Linked DNA regions of Danio rerio. The protein of the gene in region 1 interacts with the protein of each later gene in a biochemical or structural test. Links are inferred from orthologs where the notes say so. Each region holds a gene or a part of one and is shown on either strand. Other genes may lie near its edges.

Region 1 (4,472 bases):
ACGAATGAATGAATGAATGAATGAATGAATGAATGAATGAATGAATGAATGAATGAATGAATCTACATATACACAATATGTAAAATTTTTACCTAAAACCACTGACCTGTCATCATGTCTTTCGTGTATTTCAAATAATGATTAAATGTTTTGCATGTGTGTTGTTGCATGCACTATAAATTATTATTTGATGTGGGTTGCCATAATAACAAAGTTTATGGATTTTGATTAAATAAACAAGAAGTTAGACACATAATAAACTGAAATTAAATTAGAGTCACTATTCAGAACATAATATCATTTGCAAGCCATTTATATTTAGTTGAAAGTTGTTGTCATTGAAAGTACAGCGGTATTCAACCACAGTAAAGACTAAATAAGACAAAAAAAATCATGTTTAAGGTCTTTATTGTGCAGTTTCTCTGACAAGATGTACACTGCAGGTCAGATATTTGGGGATATTATGATTTGTCAGGGTTTTTGAAAGTCTTTGCTGTTCATTGATAATGTAATTGATGTAAAATGTAAGAAATTGTATTTATTTCTGTAATTCGAAACATTGTCACTCCAGTCTTCTTGAATTATTTTGGTCTTCAATCATTACTACTGGTTCTCATTTTATCAGTTCAGAACTAAATGTTTCTGCTAATTTTAGTGGATATTTTAACTTAAAAAAAAAACACACACACATACACACACACACACACACACACACACACAATTGAACTGAAGTATAATGTTTTGAAACCTAAATATATTTACTGTCACATGTAATTAATTTAATGTATCTGTGAAAATGATTTGAATTGTGCTCTTACTCTTGTACTCTTAATATACGACTGTTTCCATAAAAATAAATGAACATTGATAACAATCAGAAAAAAAATATATTCAGCAGCAAATCAGCCTATCAGATTGATCCCTGAAAGATAATGCAACACTGGAAACAAGTAATAACAGCAGACATTTCTGCATTGACTTTGAATTAGTCAATTGACTTTTGTTTGAAAGTCAAATTGAGAAGTTGTTTTAACTAAAAACTGCATTTCAAAGTTTTTATTTTTATTTTACTTTTGTCCTGATGAGCAAAAGAGACGTCTTTCGAAAAAAAATGTTTTCAAATAAAATGTTTTTATCACGCTAGTAAGAAATACACAACCAAGACGTTAAAGTGTCATGAACGGTTATGAGAGCTGTGTGTAAGTGGATGATTCTCATAAGGATCGCCTCTATCACACATTTTGACTTTTATTATTACGCTGTACTGTCTCCTAGTGGTTGAATGACACTGTACTGTCCTCAACAATCAATTTTCTCTAATAAAAATGGCACTTGCGAAAAGAAAAAGCAATAATAAATGTATGATTACAGATTTTCGCTATAACGAGACAATTGATTAGACTCACCTACAACGTCACTAAAGTGATAACATAATTAATCTCGCAGTCAATGCCATCGCCGTTTGTTAAAAAACAAGCATATTTGTTTCTGACATGCGCGAATCCTCCGCCCATAAGTACCCTGGAGCACACTCTCGCCGCGGCCTCGCGGAGAGCAGAGCGCATGCGCATACCGCATCAGAATGTTGAGCAAAACGGACTAGAACAGAGACGGGAAGACGCGCAAGCAAATTCAAACATATTTTTTCTCCTTGTCGAGGTGAACGTCTGTCGACCTAGAATATAACTTATAAAAACATGACGGAGCCCCAGTCAGCACTGTTACTCAGGAGACAGCTAGCAGGTAATATTTGAAGGCTGTTGGCGAAGGCAGGCTAACAAACCGGTGAACGTTTTAGCCAGCCAGTACACCCGAGACGGAGCATTTTAGCCGTTAGCCGCTAGTTTAGCCGCTAACAAGCGCTGTGTTTATCATACAGCATTAGTTAGCATGTTAGCAGCTAAAATAGCCGGCTAAAGGCAAGCCCCGTCGTCTTTTGTTATTTTAAAATGCTAGTTTTGTACTACTCTTGCTAAAATATCAACATGAGAGTTTTTCTAACATAATTAAAACAACAATACGCGCACGTTTGTTTAGTGTTATTCGGTTTATTCATGTCAACATAAGTGTCAGTCACTTTTTTCCGTATCACACCGGCGGGGCCGCTCTCGATCGGCTACCCCCGTGTTTTGACATCTGTGTCCGGACGCAGTTTCCGCAAGAGAACCAGTCATCTTATAAATGGAGGAAAAGTCTGTCATTGGTCCAATTTCTGCTCACTGTCTTATCGTTGTCCGTCAAACCAATAGTATTATCGCACGGTTTAAAGGTGAGATTTATAAGCCGTATATTGTGTGCCATTACCCCGCATCGGGTTGATCAAATCCCTTTGTTTTTCTAGGCTGGCTAGCAGGCTAAAGCTAACAAATTGATGGCTGCTGTTTGATCACCAGCTCACCGGTACAGCGAGAACTGGAGACCCATAGTCTCTGTCACCATAGACCTGTGCGGGAAATTGGCTCTTATTAGAGTCGTTATGAGTGTTTCCTATTGTTCTATGCCCAGCACACACACACTGAGCAATATGATCCGCGAGTGTCAGCTTTACTGAGCTCAACCAGAGGAGGATTTCTCCACTGGGCCCCATTTGCGCAGTGCAGCCAGTGAAGTGAGTTAGTTATAGGGGTCAAACTAGGCAGATTACCTGAGTTTGGGGGTCTGATGAGATCAATTAAAAAGCAAAACAACAGATCTGCTACATGACAGCTGTCTCTTTGCCACAGACAGCTCAAGCAACCCCATCCCCCCAAATTACTCATCTTACACACACATAAAAGCAACTCGCTTGTTTCTTTCCAAGGGTCGCAGGGTGAGCGGCACCCCGGGCCTGTCATGGCGTCAGGTTCTGCAGAGGCCCTGCGCTTGATTGACTGATTCAGGGGGTCAGGGGCTGTTTTGGTTGTCTCCTTTCAGAAGAACCAGCATGGTGAACTCATCAGCCTTGATCTAAACTCAGTGAACCCTTCGTGAGAACAAAAGCCTCACAACGTTCATTAATGTTGGCCCGTAAAAGATACGGGCCAGGAAAATGCGGGCACAACTTGTGTGATGTTAATGCCATGTGTAGAGAGGTTTTTTTTAGAAATCACTCAAAAATTACCTTTAATTTTTTACCCACCCCAAGCTATTAAACATGTTTTGAGACTTTAAGTTGAAAAAAAATTAAGGTTTTGGGTAAAAACATTGCAGCGTCTACTAGAGCCGTGTGATTAATCGAAATCTAATTGCAGTCACCATTTGAAATGTTGCGATTAGCTAATCACAAGAGGCTGTAATATGAAGATATATTTGTATATTTTTAATTCATTTATTTCCCGTCCAGAGCAAACGCGTGACTGCGTTTTTGTGACAGTCTTACTAGACAAATTAGTGAGCACAATTGAGTGATGAGTGTCTTGCTAAAAAGTCAATTGAAAGTATTGCCAGGGACACTCAATTTAGTAGCAAGCAACAGCATAGTACAACTGCAGAGTTGTTTCAGACATGTTAGTTTGCTGAGTGTTTTTTTTTTATTATTTATTATTATTGTTTGTATAGTACGCTACACTATCTCGCTAACTTAAGTTGAACTTGTTTACAGAAAGTTAAGGTCATTTGATTTACTGTTCTATCTTTGCATACTGTTTCATCTTTTTGTTTACTTTTTGTCCTGGGAGAGAGGTTGGCTTTTCTAGAGAAAAATTTGTGTTTAATTTCTAAATATTTAAAAATAAATTTGATTAAGTAAGTTAATATCTTTTCTGTTTCTTTTTTTTTTTTTAAATAACGCTCACTGCATTTTTCCTGAAAATTTAATACAACTACCAAATGGTTTAGTTGAACCCTGTTCACTAGCATTAGATGAAGAGTTGTTTCCTTTTCCCCAAAACCTTGGCTGAAGAAAGTCAGTCATACACTGGTTGAATGGACTGCAGGATAGTAAATAAATTATGTATTTTTTTGCCTTCAGATAATGTTCTGTTATTAAAAGCACTACTGTTATGTCACTTTATGCGCATGCTTTTGTAACTTGTGGGTTTTCTTTGCCTGTCAAGCTTTTTAACATACATTGACAGGAAATTCTCTGAAAGTGATTCCAATGATATTGTATATCTGTGGTGTTATTGTTAAATCTGCTGTGTGGACATCTCTCTTCTAATTGAATTTGAAGGGTTGGTAAACCTTTCTAGTAGTGGCTGTCATCCATTCTTGGTTTGAACAGCCCTTTATGCTATTTGTGTGATTGTTGCTTAGGGCTGGTCGATATGGCAAAACTGCAATCTTGATAATTATTTTGCATATTGAATGATAACGATGTATATTGCGATACCAGTTGTTAATGCTTCCAGATTTAAAAGAGTATTCCAGCAATGACTGAAGCCACAAAAATTAGAGGGTCTATTAAATGGCATAGCATATTTTCAGCCGATACTTTTTCAGTGGCAGAAAATTTTGGGACATCTCTAACATCAACACACTTTTAGATTCTCGTT
Region 2 (3,731 bases), on another chromosome or scaffold:
TATCAAAATAAATACTAAGACAGTCTGAGAGTGTGTGTGTGTGTGTGTTGGGGGGGGGGGGTGGACATGGAGGGCATTCAGAAGAGAGAAATGTCAAATTTAATGTCAATCACATGCAATTTTGCTGCCGTGTTTTTTATATAGGTAGTACTAAAGTGTATATCACTGCAAAGTACCAACACAAACTTGTACTGTTGTAAATGTAAATTAATTCATTAATATATGAATATAACAAATATTAGAAAACATTGTCTTTTTCACATTGTTAATTAATGTTTCTTCAAAGTCTTTGAAAGGAGTTGATTAATATTTAATGGTAAACATGAATTTCCTGAAATGTCAGTGTAAGTTTCGCCCCTTTATTATTGTGCTGTATGTTAATTTATTTGTATGTGTAAATAAGATAACTGCTATGCACTGTGTTTTGGTAATTTGCAGTATTAAAATGGGAAAAGACAAGCTTATAAATCATAAAGTCTTTTCTTTTGGCAGGTTTTCAATGGCTACAATGGAAGAGCTGGCATCTCGTGATGACAGATGTGTTATTTGCTGGGAAAAGATGTACACAGCATACAAATTACCCTGTGGCCATCTATTTCACAAGTATGAAACAGATCATGTGTTTACTTTGTTCCAATAAATGACTTTACCACCCTAGGGAATGACATTAGGTAAATGCGAGTTCATTTGAATGGGTCGTGTATTCATTGTTTCTGTGGAACAGTCATTGTTCTTTTGCTAATTAAGACTATACGACTATAGTGAACATGTTTTGTTGTTTCCCAGGTCATGTCTGCGTTCCTGGCTTGAGCAGAATATGTCATGTCCTACATGTAGGATGTCTGTAAATATGAGTGGCGGTCATACTGGAAATGAGCAGGAGGGGGCATTGTTCAGTTTGGGAGCAACTGATGTGCCTAGCAGACCTCCAACCAGATACCACAGTCAACTTTTTCATTTTAATGGTAAAATTAATAAATACTTTTAAAACTAGTCAATGCATTTATAAAATATGCTCTATAATGAAATTCCACTTTACACACCATTCAAACTATGTATTCCTTTGACTTAATGCTGTATATTTATGTACTTTACAGGCTCGTTTTCTATGTTTTTTTAAGAGATCATTGCTTTAAAGGGGAATTGTACACTTTTTTTCTACAGTCACTCTTTTAGCAATCTTCAAAATAGTGTTTGGGTATCTATTGGAAAATGTCTTACCTTTTGTACAGTAGTTAAACTTTTTAAACTTGTTAAATTTTTCAGGTTCTCAAATTTCAAACTGGCTGCCTGGCTTTTCAGTTGAAGTTTTGCACTCTCCTAATTTAATTATTCTACTACAGGCAGACGACTCTCGGGTAAATGTTGCTATGTACAATGTCATAATGAATTTATTAATATTGAAATTATTGTGTATTGTATTTATGATGTACACTAGAGGTCAAAAGTTTGGAGTCAGTTTTTTCATGTTTTTTTTATTATTATGATCATTAAGGTGGCATTTATTAAATGTAAAAAAAATGTTAAATTGTTAAATATTTATTTAATAAATATTTATTTATTACTTATTTTATGTAGTTTCAAATGAAATTATTACTCTAGCCATTATTGCTTTTATTGTTATTAGTATTTAATAATAATCTTATTGTTAATAATAATAACAATAACAATTAATATTAGAAATGTTAATTATTATCAGAGATAACTCTGAACACTGGAGTAATGACGCTAAAAGTCATCTTTAAAATCATTGGAATAAATTATTAAATTAAATGATAAACTACTTTTGAACAGTTATTTTATAGTGCATTAACATTTCACAATTTTACAATTTGTACTGTAACTTTGATGACATAAATGCAGCCTTGGTGAGCAGGAGAAGGTTTTTTTTTTTAAACATTTAAAAATCCAAATGAGCCCAAATGTTTGACCGATATTGTGTATATACTGTTTTTGTCTAATCATCATCTGTTTACTGATTTTCAGGGACATCAGGATGAAGAAATTGTACCTGGGTTAGACCTAACTGAGTAGTAAATTCTATAGCTTTGGGAAAAATGAGAAAAATGTGCCACTGACCACATTTCGGGAGGATTCTCCTGAAGAGCTCAACACAAGATTTACCTGAAGTTTTCAGCTGAGCAGGTTTAAAAAGAGTAAATCTTTCAGCTCAAGTGGCTGGATGACATACATTGAAAGGAAGTGTGTGACTGTACAGGGTGGATGTGCTTTGGCCAAGTAGGATGTAATTTTGGATTAACATCATGCTTGGAAAATCACACAAATTGAGTAGCGTATGACACAAATGTAGAAATGTACACTAGACGTAACAAGACCGGCATATTTTGAACACTGATTGGAATATTCTACCTATCCATTTATTTCTTGATAACACTGTCAAAATCAAGTTCAAGGTTCAAAATACTACTGTAAGTAAAGAACTCACTGTTTAATGTAGTTTTATATAAAGATCTCAGTCTAAACAGTTTGTTAAAATACTTTCCATTTTAAGTGTTTAAACAAAAATGTGAAATGTTTAGCAATATTTGAACATGTTTTTTTTTTTTTTCATGGACTAAAATGTAATTGTGACAAATAAGAATAATCATAAATAAAAAGCTCTTTTTAAATATTTTTGAGAATATGTGGATCCCATACAAACCTCCAAAGACTTCCTTTTTATCAGGCCCTTCTTTTATTTTTGTCTTCACTAAGTACATACTCAATCTTGTTGACATCACTAAGTCAGAATATGAAAAAAGTCTGTGCCTTAAAAAGGTGCAGTCCAGTCAATCGCAGTCAACAGAAGGGGGCGACGTTTCTCCGAGAGCATTTAAACTAAGACATAATGCTTGTAAAACACATTGGCATCTTAAATTTCCGCACAGAAAAACAGAATGTGAACCTCTTCACGTCCATGAGTACATTACACCAGTCTTCTTCCAGACACGGTAAGTTACAGCTGTACTTATAATATATTTTACAAGACGTTTCAGACGTTTTTGTTATGTTTGACATAGCGGAGTGTGAGAGGTTGGGACGACTTTATATCGTTACTCATCCAGCTTATGGTGGGTTACATTTTGTAAAGACAGTATGTACTATAAATACGAATTTATATTGTGTCTGGTGTTTGAACAAAATATATACTGGATACACGCTCACTCGAAGCACGTGACTTAAATAGTGGAGTAAAATATGTTTTAGAGAGTATGACATTTAAATTAGAGTACTGGGTCTACTCTAACGTTTTTAAGCTCTACATGTTCCATAAATTTCACTTTAAAACATGGAAAAGATACAACAGATATTAGTCTGCATATAAATAAGTGATTTTATATGTGGTCTGTGAGTTTGATGAAAATCTTTTACGGTAAAAATAACAATTACAGCAATAATAATAAACAGAAAGTTTATTTATTTACTTTTTCATTCATTTATTTATTTATTATTATTTTTTCTCTCTCTAACTTTTGTTACAGAAAAAATCATACTTTTGAAAACAGCACTTATGACAACATGAATCCTTAAACAGCTATTTACACAAAGAAATCTGATGCAAGTAGCCCATTATATTTATTTTAAACATTTTTCATGGGCATGCTAGTTGCTGGTAAATTCTGCATATTTGAAGTCAAATTCTTCATGACATAGAATGTTAATACATAAAGAAGCAGGCATCAGTGGGGCATGGCTACAGTGGTTCATATGCATCAGTCTCTCACTTCTTC

The links.
Region 2: the proteins of ube2g1a (region 1) and amfrb form a complex in vitro, tested with the Homo sapiens proteins (7 studies listed by BioGRID, with this or other methods). The link is inferred for Danio rerio from reciprocal best matches to the Homo sapiens genes UBE2G1 and AMFR.

What each region holds. Positions count from the first base shown.
Region 1 is NC_133180.1:31,603,084-31,607,555, forward strand, and holds the start of ube2g1a (ubiquitin-conjugating enzyme E2 G1a), read left to right. Parts: upstream 1-1,579; 5' UTR 1,580-1,697; coding exon 1,698-1,743; exon of another isoform or gene 1,744-2,269; intron 2,270-2,341; exon of another isoform or gene 2,342-4,472. UniProt on the Homo sapiens protein: Accepts ubiquitin from the E1 complex and catalyzes its covalent attachment to other proteins. In vitro catalyzes 'Lys-48'-, as well as 'Lys-63'-linked polyubiquitination. May be involved in degradation of muscle-specific proteins.
Region 2 is NC_133182.1:35,375,543-35,379,273, forward strand, and holds the end of amfrb (E3 ubiquitin-protein ligase AMFR-like), read left to right. Parts: intron 1-492; coding exon 493-603; exon of another isoform or gene 604-671; intron 672-786; coding exon 787-965; intron 966-1,266; coding exon 1,267-1,358; intron 1,359-1,986; coding exon 1,987-2,034; 3' UTR 2,035-2,643; downstream 2,644-3,731. Other genes in the region: dpep2 (dipeptidase 3), read left to right, coding at 2,644-2,951. UniProt on the Homo sapiens protein: E3 ubiquitin-protein ligase that mediates the polyubiquitination of lysine and cysteine residues on target proteins, such as CD3D, CYP3A4, CFTR, INSIG1, SOAT2/ACAT2 and APOB for proteasomal degradation.